Linked DNA regions of Mus musculus. The protein of the gene in region 1 purifies or fractionates together with the protein of each later gene. This does not show direct contact. Links are inferred from orthologs where the notes say so. Each region holds a gene or a part of one and is shown on either strand. Other genes may lie near its edges.

Region 1 (7,267 bases):
TGGTTCCGGTGGGCCCTTCTCACCGCGCCCCAGTTTTGTTCAGTCCTTAGCACTGTTTGGAAAAGGACTCCCCACACCTGTAAGCGCCAGCAGTGAGACAGTTTTAGTTTTGGTTTTTGTTTTTCCCGAGTCACCGGATCTTCCGGAACACACGTGGTTCCGAGTCTTGAAACGCTTACATTTCCCAGGTATTTTATCTCCTTGAAACTAAAACCCCAAAGCTTTTGGTGACCCAATCCACCCAAGAACTCTGGAATGACAGGGCTTGGAAGTGCAGGCCTGTATAATCCTGGCATTTAGAAGGTTGAGGCTCGAAAAATCTCACAAGTACAAAGCCAGCCTGGGCTTCTAAATCTAGAGACCCTAAAGACTTCTAAAACTATAAAGACTCTTTGTGGTTGTGTGTGTGCATTATTAATTTATTATTTTAAAAGTTATTTTTATGTGCGTTTGGCCGTTTGTCTATATGTATATATCTGTGTGAGAGTGTCAGATTCCCTGGAACTAGAGTTGCCATATGGGTGCTGGGAATTGAACCTGGGGTCCTGTGGAAGAGCAGCCGCTGAGCCATCACTCCAAACCCAAGAGATACAGCTAGTGAGAAACCGTCTAACAAAAGAAAAACCTGTGAGGCCAGTGAGGTGGCTCCCTGCACTGCACCTGGTGACATGCCTGGAATCCCAGTCTGGGAGGCAGAGGCAGGAGGATACACTGGGCTTGCTGATCAGTAAGTGTAGCAGAATCTGTGAGCTTCAGGTTCAGTGTGAGACCCTATCTCAAAAAACAAGTTGGAGGGCTGGAGAGATGATTTGGCAGTTGAAGGGTGCAGATCTGTTCTTGAAGAGTACTGAATTTAGTTTCCAGCACCCAGATTCTAAGGATCAAAACTGCCTTACACTTAAGCTCCAAGGGCTCCAGCACCTCTGGCCTCCATGGGCAGCTGTACTCAGAGGCACAGACACAACATACTTAAAAGTAAAACTGCTTTTGACGTTGGAGAAGGGTTGAGGAAGACACCAGTGTATAGACCTCTGGGCTCCACGCATTCAGTAGGAATGTTCTAGAATCTGGGGTGCCTGTCTCCAGTGCTCCCAACTGGCAGCTGCCTGCTGCATCCAGCTAGCTTTGGATCCTGTAGGTCACAGGAATCAACACAGAAGGAACGTGTGAAATCACTCCAGGCCCTTGGTGAGCCTTGTGGGAGGTTCCTGGTATCTGGAGGTCTGGGCCCGGGAATCCTGTTCCACATCAGAGGGAGCTGGCAAGGGGCGGTGCCCTCTACCCAACCACCCTTTCCGGGATTGCTACATTTGTTTCTGTTCCTCTCTTGATTGAAGGGTTAAGTGAGGTTTCCTGGGTTTATTGTGGGGTTTTGTTGTTGTTTTAACAAAATTTCAATCGCTGGATTTTACCAATGAAGACTCAGGAACCAGATACTGGAGTGAAAGCCTACTGGCTCCTAGAGGCAGAGAAGAGCCCAGCTGACCTTCCTCAGTCAGTGTCCCACCAGGAATCCTGCCCCTTCTCATGCTGACTCAAAAAACCTTCAAACTGAATGTCCCTCCTTTCTGCTTCCTTTGTCTCTATCCATCCTCATGATTTCTTCTTACTCTATGGTTTTTGTTTTTGTTTTTAAATAATCTTCACTTCTGGCCAGCTGGTTGCATGTCCTGCCTCTTGACTTTATTTAATCTCGTTTACAATATTCAAGCAGAAAGTCCTTGGGCTAAAGGTGTGAGCTGAGGCTGAACCACAGCTAAAAAAATGTTTTGTCTTTTAGTAAACAACACCATCAACAGTATGACCAAATAGCCTACAAAATTTTTTGGTTTGATTTTGATTTTGGTGCTGGGCAAATGCCATTCCACATCCCCTGGCCCATTTTCCCCTGTCTATACAGGGACCACGTCCTCCCTTCTACAATCGCAGCCATGGGCAGGGGGGTGGGGGTGTCTTAAACAGTGGATTGTGCTTCACTTTGTAGCATACCGGGTCCTGCCAGTACTATGTGCATGCAGTGTGAACAGGCAGGATTGTGGCCTGGGGTTTAGTCACCTCAGGCTTCTACTCAGGGTCTCAGTGATACAGTTGTAACCGCCTCAGTGCTTTGAGGGCATGAAATTGGCATTCAGGTCCTGATAACTTGTCCTGGTCCTCAGGAGCGGATCTGGATCCTCATTGTGGTACAGTTTGTCAAGCGGTAGACCAGATATGGGTGGATTTACTTTTCTGCAGGGCTCCTGCACCAAGCCTATCTGTATGTGCCTAACCCACTCCATTCTGCTGTGTCAGAAAATAATAGCTGTCCTCATACGATTCTTAAAAGTGACATGTATTTTCATTTAAGGTTGGTGTTCGAGGAAAGGACATTGTTGTTCTTGGTGTGGAAAAAAAATCAGTGGCCAAGCTACAAGATGAAAGAACAGTACGAAAAATCTGCGCCTTGGACGATAACGTCTGTATGGCCTTTGCAGGTATAAGTTGAACCAGGGTGGCAAGCAGAGCATTGGTGACAGGTTGGAGGGGATGGGCAGTTGTGACACGTATAAACTGGGTAAATGAAGTGGATATGAGCCGCTGAGTTCCAGGCTAGCCTGGACTACAGAGCAAGAACAGCAGTTGTAGCTTGGGATCTCTCCTGGGGATTCTTGGACCTGACTGCTGCTGTTAGTCATGTCTGTATCAGCAACAGTTCCTGACTCTCCGGTCCAGGAGCACCTGTGGTTGGAGGGATGACAGGAGCCTCCTTGCTGAGCCTCACTTGCACTAGAGATGTCAGGTATCATCCTCAACAGATCCAACCTAAGAAGTCGCAATTCCCTAAACAAAACTGAGTGCCAGCATGACTGCATCCACAGTTGTTCGTGTACTTGCTTCTTGGAACAGCTTGCAGAAGCTGGTGTGCTTTGGGATGTGGCTTGACGTTCTTGACCTTAGTCGTATCCATGAGCTGCCCTGACAGGAACCTTTGTCTCAGGTCTCACCGCTGATGCAAGGATAGTCATCAACAGAGCCCGGGTAGAGTGCCAGAGCCACCGGCTGACAGTGGAGGACCCAGTGACTGTGGAGTACATCACCCGCTACATTGCGAGTCTGAAGCAGGTAGGTGCTTGCTTAGGCACTGTCCGCCATCAGGGTGCTGTGTGACTTCATCTTGCCAGTCTGTTGTCTCTTCTGGCTTGGATTCATCCTGACTCTGTTCTCTGGAGGGGAGTACGAGTATTTGTCTTGCTACTCTGGTTGAGAGGGTGCTGAAAGGCACCCCCAACTCTGTAGTAAGACACTCAAACTTTAGAGACAGCTTATAGCTGGAACATGTCAGCCTGTGTTGAGATGACTTCCAATAATCTCAGCAGTTAAGGACATTAGCTGCTCTGAGGACCCAGGTTCAATTCCCAGCACTCACAAAGTAGCTTACAAGCAGTCTCTAACTCCATTTGTGAGAGATCTAATCCCTCCTCCTGACACAAGACACAACGCACATAAATAAATCTTTGGGTGTGTCTAAGAGGAAGGGGTGCACTAAAGGCTGTTCTCCATCCATCTGAATTGCAGGTGGCTTCCTTTTCTCTCGGCACTAACCACTTGTCTGGCATGAACTTTTGTGGTTGATGGTGCTCACTTTTTTTTTCCTTTCAGCGTTATACACAGAGCAATGGGCGCAGGCCATTTGGTATCTCGGCCCTAATTGTGGGTTTTGACTTTGATGGCACTCCCAGACTCTATCAGACTGACCCCTCGGGCACATACCATGCTTGGAAGGTAAGTCGTTTCAAAACAGTGGAACTTTAGGCTATTGGAAGGTACTGAGCTAGCAACAGCAAACAGATAATCTCTGAGCTTAGTTCTACACGCACTGCCTGTTTGTTCCATGTCGTGTGTATGAAATCGGAACATTCTACATTCCCATTTGGCATTGTATCAATGGGGAATGGGATTGTGAGAGGACCTAGAGTGAAATCTCCCTAAGTGGCTCTTGATAATAAAGAACTTTCACCGGGTGCGGTGGCGCACGCCTTTAATCCCAGCACTCGGGAGGCAGAGGCAGGCGGATTTCTTGAGGCCAGCCTGGTCTACAAAGTGAGCTCCAGGACAGCCAGGGCTATACAGAGAAACCCTGTCTCCAAAAAAACAACAAAAAAAAAAACTTTCATTGTTGGCAAGGATCAACACCAGGTGATAATAGCCTTTTCAAAAAAAAAAAAAAAGTAGGACTTGGGTCTGTGCCTTCACTTCTGGAGAGCCAACTGTAGACCATGAAGGAGGGAGGCAGCCTCTAGCCAGCTACTTAGACTGGCTCTACTAAGACACACATGTGTTTTAGGCCAATGCCATAGGCCGGGGCGCCAAGTCAGTGCGTGAATTTCTGGAGAAGAACTACACAGATGATGCCATTGAAACAGATGATCTGACCATCAAACTTGTGATCAAGGCACTGTTAGAGGTGAGTGTACTCAGGAGACCCCACCCCCCACCCCTAACAGGGCAGGCCTGCTGGGTGACAGTGGCATGGTTGATGGGTTCTTTATACAGCTTGGTCAGTTGGGTTAGCATGAGAAACAGTGCTGTGCTGTAGAATGCCCGGCTCAGGTGACTGGGGTCTCTTCCAGAGGCTTGTGATGCTGAACTGTGGAGTTGGAGTGCATGTAGGCTAAGCCAGAGTGAACAGAGCTGGAAATACAGGCCTTGAGCCCCAGGGGCCATTGCTGTGCAGGCTGGAGGTTACAGGGGCACCTTGCTTGAGTAGGCATGACTAGGCAGCATTTGGGACAATAGATGTTCCATCTTTGAGGCCAGACACACCTTGACTCTTTGCCTTCTTCAAGGTGGTCCAGTCAGGTGGCAAAAACATCGAACTTGCCGTCATGAGGCGGGATCAGCCGCTCAAGGTAAGCCTACTTTTGGGTGGAAGGGCTCTGAACCTTGCATACCCAGTTATGGGTGTGTACTGACATTGAGTTTTGCTTTATTGGTGTCATTTTCTTAGCTTACAGGACTGAAATGACTTGGGGAAAAACCTCCCCAGGCCCTGTGATATTTGCCTCTGAAGTTTACTTTCTCACAGGGCTGTTTCCTATTAGCTCCTGGCCCTTGCTTAACAACATTCCCACTCCCATCTGACTCCCTCTGCTTCGAGGTCATGCCTTGCTCCCAGAAGCACTCCATAGGGCCGTTAAAAAGTAGCCTCCCTACTCTGTGGCGCTGTTTGTGCCCTGTGTGGAGAGATTAACCGTGATGCTTCTTGTGGAGCAGATTCTAAATCCTGAAGAAATTGAGAAGTATGTTGCTGAAATTGAGAAGGAGAAAGAAGAAAATGAAAAGAAGAAGCAAAAGAAAGCATCTTGATGAAGAGGCACTGGTCAGAGCAGCTTTGAGCCTCTATCCGGGCAAGCCTCGGTGCTGTGGGCCTTGTGGCCATTTGTCCGAGTTCAATAAACTACTACATTTTTTAACTCTGTGATGAGAACCTGTCGTCATTTGGGTGCAGCTGTGGTTGAGGTGGGATCTTGGTGCCTTTCTTGCATGAGTGCTCGCTCCATCCACTCAGGACGTACACTGAAGGTGTAGCAGGTCCTGGGTTCTCAATACATTTCCTTTTAGACTTTTGGTAAGGAAAGCCTGCAGGTTTCAGTGGTAGAAAGCCTAGCCTGTGAGGCTAGCACGGGGCACTTGGTGGTGCTCTTCCAAAGGGCTTGTGTTTGGTTCCCAGCACTCACATCAGAGAGCTTACAAGTGGCTCCAGTTCACAAGTATGATAGATGTATACTCAGTGATATACACACATACACAAACCTGGAGGGAAAACCTCCATCTCCCATACCACCCCAAACAGCTCAGTGCTCAATCCATTTTCCTGTTTGCCACATTTTCTACGTTAACTATGAGGCTACCTTTTTTTCCCTTGGCTAGAATGTACTTCCTCTTGGCTTCTAGACCAGTTTTTCCTGCCACCTGCTTTAGCTTACAGCTTTTCCCCTTGCCCTGCCCCTTCCTTGGTTTACAAGTTTTGTAAAAACAAACTTGGGTCAAACTTAGCGCCTAGCACAACACTGATTTAACACTGACTCACAGAAAGAAACCCCGTTCAGTCTTCTGCTTTAGGAGGTGTCTTCCACCTAGCACATACATTCTTGTCAATGGTCCCAAGGCTGATGGCCTCCCGCCCTCAGGCTCCTTCAGCCTGAGGACCATGCATCTCTCTGGAGGACTGGAGTGTTCATCCCAGCAAGAACCGCCCTGTCTACTTGTCTGTGGCCACCAGGTCACTTTTCTGGTGCACCATATATTTCCCCGTAAGTACCTCTGAATCCTAACCTGCATGTGCTTTCGACAGGCAAGACACAGGTGACGGACAGAGGCAGCACTTGAAGAGTCCAATGTTTATTTAGTTTGCATTTCCCCAACAGTGGCCCCAGTGCTATGTTCTACTCTCAGCTCTGAAGTCCTACACAAAGATAAAGCCAAGCTTTCACGCTGTGGCTTCATCAGTACAGAACCAAAGCTCTGTGGCTATTTTACGCCGTGACTTCATCAGCACAGCACTGAAGCGCTGTGGCTTTCTGAAGGGTTTGGGTTATCAAGGTGCTTGTTTTCAACAGTGCCCTGTCAGTCAGAGGATGCATGCTTATAGAGAAGATCTGACACATTTACTCATGCAACAAATTTATGTCCCCGCCCTCCCTCCACCACCTTTAAAATAAACACATAACTATTTACAATCAAGGAAATAAGGCCAGTGACCTTAAAAAAAAGAAAAAAAAAAAAAGACTGGCTCATTTAAAAGTGAATGAGAACACTTAAGTGCAGCCAGAGGCTGAAGCAGACAGGAAGGTTGGACACACCACACCACACGAGCTTGCCTTGGGTTTCAACACTATGCCTCAGTGCCTGTGGAAGGCAGGCAGGCTCTACGTGACACTCACGCCCTTCCCACTACTTCACTCATCCCGTTAGCCCCCAGCACTGAACATCACTGGTTCATTACACAACATGATCCATGGAACACCCCCCCACCCTGTCCCTGCCCTGGCCCTCCCACCCCGTGTGACTGGCTCACCCTGTGCTGGCCCTGCCTGGCTCCTGAGACTTCCCACTTTTAGCAGTTGGGGTACCAGGCCAGCAGCACCAGGGGCCAGATGGGTTGCAGAGACACATTTGGACACCACATGTGCCAAATAAAATTTGGTTCCATTTTAAGAGTCAAAGCGGTCATTAAAAAAAAAAAAGTTACAAAGTGAGGATTGAGCCTTTGCCTATAGAAACCTTT
Region 2 (7,633 bases), on another chromosome or scaffold:
GTCACATGCTGAAAGTCAGAGGACAACCTCAAGTTTTGATTCTCACTACCCCCCTCCCTCTTGTTTGAAGCAGAGACTCTTGTTTGCTGCTGCATCCGCCCCTCGGACTTTTACGGGTTTTCCCGTCTGCACCTTCCATTATTCCTGAGAAGCACCAGGATTCCAAACACACATTACCTCACCAGGCTTTTACATGGGTTCTGGGGATTTGAACTCAGGTCTTCAAGATTGCAGAGTAAGGGCTTTTCCCACTGAGCCCTAAATGTGTGAACTCTACCACTCACCAGGTTAAACCATGGGGAAGTCCTTTTCCTGAAACAAGGCAGCTCAGCCCAACACACCCTTTAAAAACAAAACAAAACAAAACAAAAAAACAAAAAAAAAAAAAAAAACTCCGTTTTCCTTCAGACTTCTTCTTTATCATCAATAGCTCAAGATCCAAACCAGTCCAAAGCGGAGACCCCTCAGAGCTACTTTATAATGTGACCAGAACGCTGTCCACTTTCTTCTCCAGCCTCCCTTCTGCAGAGGTGATCAGCATGTGTCCAGGGCTTCCGTGTGCTGGGGAGGCAGAGTTCCTGGACCTCTGCCACAGAGAGAGAAGGCATACCAAGGTGCATCAAAAGCTTTTCAAGATTTCTCCAGGCAAAGCAACACGCCAGCAATTTGCTTTTGCTGTGTGTGGGCGGACGGGTGTTTAAATTTAGAACCGACAAAAAGACTTTGCTGAGAAATCTATACGCTCCTTGCTTCTTGAGTATTAGTGGCACGAAACCCTAATCTTCCCTCTTCACGTGCCAACTGTGAGAACGCTCGGAAACTCGTTTCCTCCCGATCTCTGTCTACTCCCATCATGCTTTGTATGCATGTCTTTTCTTTTACACCACCAAGAAATCATTTTGGAAGAAGCGAGCTTCACACGACTCAATGGAGCTTGGATAAGGAGTCATTAACTCAAGGAAAGAGAGGATACATTTATTGAGGAAAAATGCTTGAGCTGTCTAAGGACTTTAGTGTGTAAGCAGAAGTGTGGCTTTTTTCAGAACCGTCAGCAGCAGGCACAGAAAGGCTTCTGGGATGGAGTTTCCAGGACTATCAACCTCTGGGGAAGGGGCTCCAGGCTGCAGTTTCTCCCAGTATCTTCCCAAGTCTTTCCCAGTCAGTGAAACTTCTCTCAGGGAGACATGGTGGGGTTTTCTAGTTTGGGTGCAAGACTCACCCTGCAGGACAGGGCTTCCTCCTACTTTCCCCTGAGCCTCAGTGAGGATCAGGGGTTCCAGGCATTAGCTGGGACCTGATAAGGGTCAGTGACCCAGGTTCCAGCATCCTTTGGGTCTCAACAAGAGTCAGGGAGCCGGGCCAGGCATCAAGTTGAATGTCCAGGAAGGTGAGGGTGGGGTCAAAGCATTTTATTTTCAAAGGGCACTCACGGTGTTTCTGTCTTAGGGAGCTGCAGAGATTAAATGATCTAGGCATACTACAAAGGAATGGGTAAGGAAAATATGTAGTGTATACACAGTGGGGATTCAGCCATGAAGAAGAATGAGATGGGTCTGGGGAGATGGCTCAGTCAGTTAAGATCTGGCCTTGCAAGCACACACACACACACACACACACACACACACACAGAGAGAGAGAGAGAGAGAGAGAGAGAGAGAGAGAGAGAGAGAGAACCAAAAACCCAAAACAAACAAAATAGAGGCCATATTGAAAATCCAGGAGGTCTGGTACAGCCTACAATCCCAGCACTAGGGAAAGGGAACAAACCTAGACCTGATCCCCAGCCTTGCCGACAGCCAGCCTATCCTAATTAGTAAGCTCTAGGCCCTGGCTCAAGAAACAAGGTATAACGGGCATGGTGGCAGCCACACCTTTCGCCCAAGCAGAGGCAAGTGAATCTCTGAGTTTGAGACCAGCCTGGTCTACGTAATGAGTTCCAGACCAACCGAGGCTACACAGTGTGATTCTGCCTAAAGAAAGGAAATAAGAGAGAGTGGGGAGAAGGAGAGAAAAGAACAAAAGAAAGAAGAAGGGTAGAAGGGGCCTGAGGAAACTGACCTCTGACCTTCATACATATGTATACACACACACACACACACACACACACACACAGGAACCCACACACAAAAGAGTGAGTTTATGTTATTCTTGAAAGTAGATGAAACCGAAGATAATCGTGTTAAGCAAATTATGCCAGTCTCAGAAAGACAGACACCATATGTTTTCTCTGACTGGTGGGGCCTAGATTTTACATAGTCACACTGAACCGTGTGTGTGTGTGTGTGTGTGTGTGTGTGTGTGTGTGTGTGTGTGGTGTACATTTAAGAAAACAAACAGGAAGGAGGGGAGAAAAGGGAAGATAGAGGGAAGGGGGATATGCTCAATTTACAGTCTATAATTTTAAGAAAAAAGTGCTTTGATTTAACAGGTCACCATTAAGAGCACCACTTGTTGCTCTTGCTGAGGACCAGGTTCAGTTCCCATCACCTACATGGCAGCACATAACTGTCTGTAACTCCAAATCTAGGAAACACAACACCCTCTTCTGGCCTCTGTGGGTACTGCATGCACATGACACCATATACAGGAAGGCAAAAATACTCATGCAAATAAATAAACAAACAAACAAATACTGTTTAATTCTTTTAAGTATTCTGCAAGATGAACAATAATTAGTGTAAATGAGACTTGCTCCTCGATACCCACAAGAAAAAAGGAAAAAAATGAAAGAAAGAGGGAAGGAGAAAAAAATGATGGTTGGGATTTGGCTCAGTTTGTGAATGCTTGCGTAGCATACATAAACTCCTGGATGTTATCCCCACACCAGCAAACCATGTGTGGGGTGTGTTCCTGTCATCCCTGCACTTGGAAGGAGAATCAGGAGTTCAATATTTTCCTTGATCAACCTAGGGTACTTGTGACCCTGTCTCAAAAAACAGAAGAGGAGGGGGAGGAGGAGAAGAGGAAAAGAAGGAGGAGGAGGAGGAGGAGGAGGAGGAGGAGGAGGAGGAGGAGGAGGAGGAGGAGGAGGAGGAGGAGGAAATAATCCTAGAACTCGGGAGGATATGTGAGTTTGAGGCCAGCCTGGTCGACATAGTGAGTTCCAGGACAACTAGGGCTACACGGAGATACCGTGACTAAAAGAGGCAAAACTGACAGACAAACAGACGAAACAAGTTACTGTATATTAAGTGTGCCTTAGCCAAAGCCAGGTACACACCAAGTGAAAACAAATATTAAAATATTAATAATATTAAAACAAATATTATTTTGTGTCCACAGCTAGGACACAAAGCTCCCTACACAGGTGGTCAAGCACCGCCACCGAGATCCTGGAGCTCGGAGAGGCACACTGTCCCTTTAACACGAAGCCTGGACGGCTCCTTTGCAGCACGGAACCTTAGGCCCTGGGACTGCCGTGGCCTACGGACCTTAGGCCCAACGGACAGGAACCGGAAGTTCTCGCCGGGACTTCTGCTAAACCATTGCTGGCTTAGTTGCTCCCTGAAACCGCTTTCTGGCGCTGCTGGTGGGGTGAGCGCTGGTTGCCGAGGGTTTCGGTCCCAACTGCTGTCAGTAGTGATCCAGCCATCCCCAGTCCTGCGCCGTCGGGGCTCCCCGGTGAGCTCGGCCGTTTTCCTCATCCCTGATAATCTGGAAGTGGGACAGCTAGTCGCGGGGATGGCGGTCATCGCAAGCAGTGCGGCGGGACAAAGACGCTCACAAAAGCCCGCACGAGCATGCGCGCACTCGCTTTTGGGTTGGGGCGTGGTATTGATAACAGGGTCTCCCCCATGTAGCTCAGGCTGGCCTCGAACTGGGACTTCTCCAGCCTCAGCGTCCCCTGTCCTGGGATGGCAGACATGTGCCACCACGTGCAGCTTGGAATGGGCCGCTTGTCATTTCTGCTGTCGAGCTCCAGGTTGTGTCCGATTCTGATTGCTCCATCCCTTGTTTTCTTTTCTTTTAAAACTAAAGCCTCCGCTGAAGAACGGGACCATGGAAGACAAACCACTGGTAGTATCTAAACAGAAGACAGAAGTGGTGTGCGGTGTGCCCACCCAGGTGGTCTGCACGGCCTTCAGCAGCCACATCCTAGTTGTGGTGACCCAGTTCGGGAAGATGGGTACGCTAGTGTCCTTGGAGCCCAGCAATGTGGCCAATGACATCAGCAAGCCAGTGCTCACCACGAGAGTCCTCCTCGGGCAGGACGAGGTAATGGGAGTTGAGAGCATCTTTTTTTCTGCTGTCATTTGTCCATAGGGATATGGGGTGCCTGATAGGCACAACTCCATACGTACCCAAACTATGCGCAGTGAGCATTTTCCAGGGCCATTCTGGACTGAGGGTGTCCTGGCTGGCTCGAGTGATGCTTTTCCCAGCGTGTTAGCATTTTACTCAACACTCGGGGAGGGATTGATTTTTATGACATAGCCATTTCCTCAGTTTGACCCTGTCCTGATGGCTCTATGTTTATGTCTGCTTCTTGAGTCTTGACAACAGTTCCCTTTGCAGGCCTGTCTGTCTTGATTAGGAGTAACCAGAGAGACGGTAGGCAGAGGTACCAAGGAAAAGTCTTAATACTGCCTCCTGGGCAGTTCCCTCTGTCTGCTTTATGCAGTCCACGTGGTGCTCTGAATCACTGTTGTCCTAGCTTAGGGGGTTTGGGGAAAGCGTGAGACGCTGGCCTAGGTCTCTTAAGGAAAGCATTAGGAGCAGACAGTGTTTGTCCCCAGTGTGACTATACACACCTGTAATCCTTTCAGGGGGAGGCTGCGGCAGAAAAATTGCTACAAGTTTGTGATCAGACTGAGCTGAGGCCAGCTAAGGGATAGACCTTATTCTCCCTGCATAAGCAAAAAAGAAGGAGAAGAAATAAAGCAAACTACTGGTTATGGTGACATGCTGGCTGCTGTAGTCCCAGCACTTGGGAGGTGGGATCAGGAGAATCAGGGTTCAGTTTCATTCCCATAAGGCTTGCTTGGGCTACATGACACCCTCTGTTAGAAAGGCAGGGAGCATTGAGTTGGCTCAGGGGCTAAAGGGTATGCAAGCCTGATAGTCTGAGTACAGTCTCACAATCCCACAGTGGACAGAGAAAGCTGACTGCTACAAGTTGTATTCTTTTATATGTGTGTGTATATGTGTATATATATCATAAATATAATATATATAATATTATATATGATATGTTTATTATATTCTATATAGATACATAAAGATATCTATATAAAATGTTATAATAGTCATTTATAATTTTAGTAGAGCCTAATTAGCCATGTGCTCATGTTTAATCTTGGCACTTGGGAGATGATTGTAGGCCTAATCTCCATGGCAAGTTCCAGATCAGACAGGGCTACGTAGTGAGCTCTCATCTCAACAGCAATTAATACAGCTGTACATAGTAAGCTCTTGTCTCAACAAAACCAAATGAATGAATGACTAAGTAGCTCTCAGCAATGGAGACTGAGGAAGTGGCTCAGTTCATACAGTGCTTGCAAGCACAGCCTGAGAGTCCTCAGAACTCACAAGAAAGCTGGGTGTGGGGCTCAGCGTGGTGCAGACCTTTCCTCCCAGCGCTGGGGGCTGACTCAGGCCGGTCTGTGCAAGTGTGCGGCCAGCTTCATCTACATACCAAGTTCTAGCAAGGGCTGCTTGGAGAGACCCTGTCCCCCAAAGGGAAAACGAAGAAACCCTGCGGCGAGGGCGGGGACAGGAGGATCCCGGGGCTTGCTGGTTAGGCAGGCAGTTGGGCCTAATTAGTGACTTACAGGTCAAGAAGAGATGCTGTCCCAGAGTAGACGGCTGGTGTTCAGGATGATTCCTGAGGTTGTCCCCAGGCCGCCTCAGACGTGCACATGCTCACACTCAAAAAAAAAAAAAAAGGACAAAGAAATGAAACTGGATATGATAGCACATGTCCAGAAATCCCAGCTCTCAGGAGGCTGAGGTAGGAGGATTGCCATGAGTTCAAGGCCAACCTGGGCTAAATGAGTTCCATGATACTACAAAAAATGACAACCTGTCTTTAAAAAAAAAAAAAAAAAACAAAACAGAGCCAGGCATGGTGGCGCACGCCTTTAATCCCAGCACTTGAGAGGCAGAGGCAGGTAGATTTCTGAGTTCGAGGCCAGCCCGCTCTACAAAGTGAGTTCCAGGACAGCCAGGGCTACACAGAGAAACCCTGTCTCAAAAAACCAAAATAAATAAATAAAAACAGATGAGGTTTCCTGCAGTCACAACCCTGTCTTCCTCTCCCTCCCTCCCAGCCTCTCATCCATGTCTTTGCAAAGAACCTGGTAGCATTTGTGTCGCAAGAAGCAGGAAACAGAGCCGTCCTGCTGGCCATGGCTGTGAAAGACAAGAGCATGGAGAGGCTCAAGGCATTGAAGGAAGTGATCCGGCTGTGCCAGGTGTGGTGACCTGCCGTTAGCAGTGCCAGACACAGACGTATGGACGCTCGGTGAGCGGGGCCTTTGAGACCCATCTTTCCAGCGCCAGGAGAGAGCTCATTCCAGGGCCTTTAGTCCTCAAAGCTGGAAACAGCACTCAAGTCTCAGGGACTCTCCCTGCGTGGCTACTGTGTTCTGCCTTGGGCACTGGAGCGGGGCTGGGCTGCAGCAGCTGCATCCACTGAGTGGAAATGAGCGGCCGGTTATGAGGACAAGTAATCCTGGGTGTGCAGGAGCACTTGTGGGAAGATTTTTTTATTAAAAATAAATCTAAAGTACTTGGCTGGCCTTCTCAGTGATCCTGAGACATCATGGGCATATGTTCTAGGTTCACTTCAGGACACCTGAGGTGGGAGGGAAACCTGTTCGGCAAAAGTACAGTACGTGGTTGCTGGGTGTGAGGTAGATCCTAGGTGTGCATTCAGCCAGCATTGGGTGCCGTCCCTCCCGTGCTGGGGGCATGGACCAAGCCTCAAGTTACAGAATATGGTGAGAGACAGACATGCAGACACTGGACATGCAGCAAGCAGAGCAAAGGTGGCCATGCTGGTGGGTCCCTAAGGATGAGCTGGGTGGGAGAGCCTGGGATGCGGGTGGCAGGCAGAGGCAAAGGGTGACCCTGAGCTCAGAGAGGAGGAGGGGTTCCGACATTAGGCTGGCATTTGTTCCGAGTTGCCCTGTTGGTGCCCATCCCTCTGAAGAGTGGCATCCTGAGACCTGGGGTCTCCGGCCACAGGGATGGGGGTGGCCCCTGATCACAGTTGAGTGGGAATTTCTGATTCCAATGGAGAATCTGCTCTGACATTCTCATGGTCACCAGTGGAGAGGAGACCACAGAAAGGCCGGGTAGAGAACCTTTCTCTAGGTCCAGGGATGACCAGTAAGCTTGGCTGGCCACTTTCCACTTAGGTTAAGTCAGGACTAGCTGGCCTCAAGTCTTGATCCTCGTGCAGGTCGATGCCTGCTGTGTACTGAGTCCTGTTCCCCTTGGGAAGCTTGGGACCTCTCCAGGGATAAATGAGGAGGGCTGTAGGCTGAAACCAGGTCACCTGGGATGGGAGTAGGGACTGCAGACTTGACTCGGGATCACCCTTTGGTCTCTTGCCTCCCAACACCCCACGGATTTCCCATCCATCGGAATCCACCTGCATGGCCACCTTTTCTCTGCTTACCACATGCCC

The links. The genes of interacting proteins can lie anywhere in the genome.
Region 2: the proteins of Psma7 (region 1) and Psmg3 purify together in Homo sapiens (affinity purification with mass spectrometry; 3 studies listed by BioGRID and IntAct, with this or other methods). This does not show direct contact. The link is inferred for Mus musculus from reciprocal best matches to the Homo sapiens genes PSMA7 and PSMG3.

Annotation. Positions count from the first base shown.
Region 1 is NC_000068.7:180,034,560-180,041,826, reverse strand, and holds the end of Psma7 (proteasome subunit alpha type-7), read left to right. Parts: exon of another isoform or gene 1-188; intron 189-2,347; coding exon 2,348-2,474; intron 2,475-2,977; coding exon 2,978-3,102; intron 3,103-3,639; coding exon 3,640-3,762; intron 3,763-4,324; coding exon 4,325-4,444; intron 4,445-4,826; coding exon 4,827-4,889; intron 4,890-5,253; coding exon 5,254-5,346; 3' UTR 5,347-5,460; downstream 5,461-7,267.
Region 2 is NC_000071.6:139,822,710-139,830,342, reverse strand, and holds Psmg3 (proteasome assembly chaperone 3), read left to right. Parts: upstream 1-3,448; 5' UTR 3,449-3,621; intron 3,622-3,978; 5' UTR 3,979-3,999; coding exon 4,000-4,215; intron 4,216-6,269; coding exon 6,270-6,422; 3' UTR 6,423-6,730; downstream 6,731-7,633. UniProt on the Homo sapiens protein: Chaperone protein which promotes assembly of the 20S proteasome. May cooperate with PSMG1-PSMG2 heterodimers to orchestrate the correct assembly of proteasomes.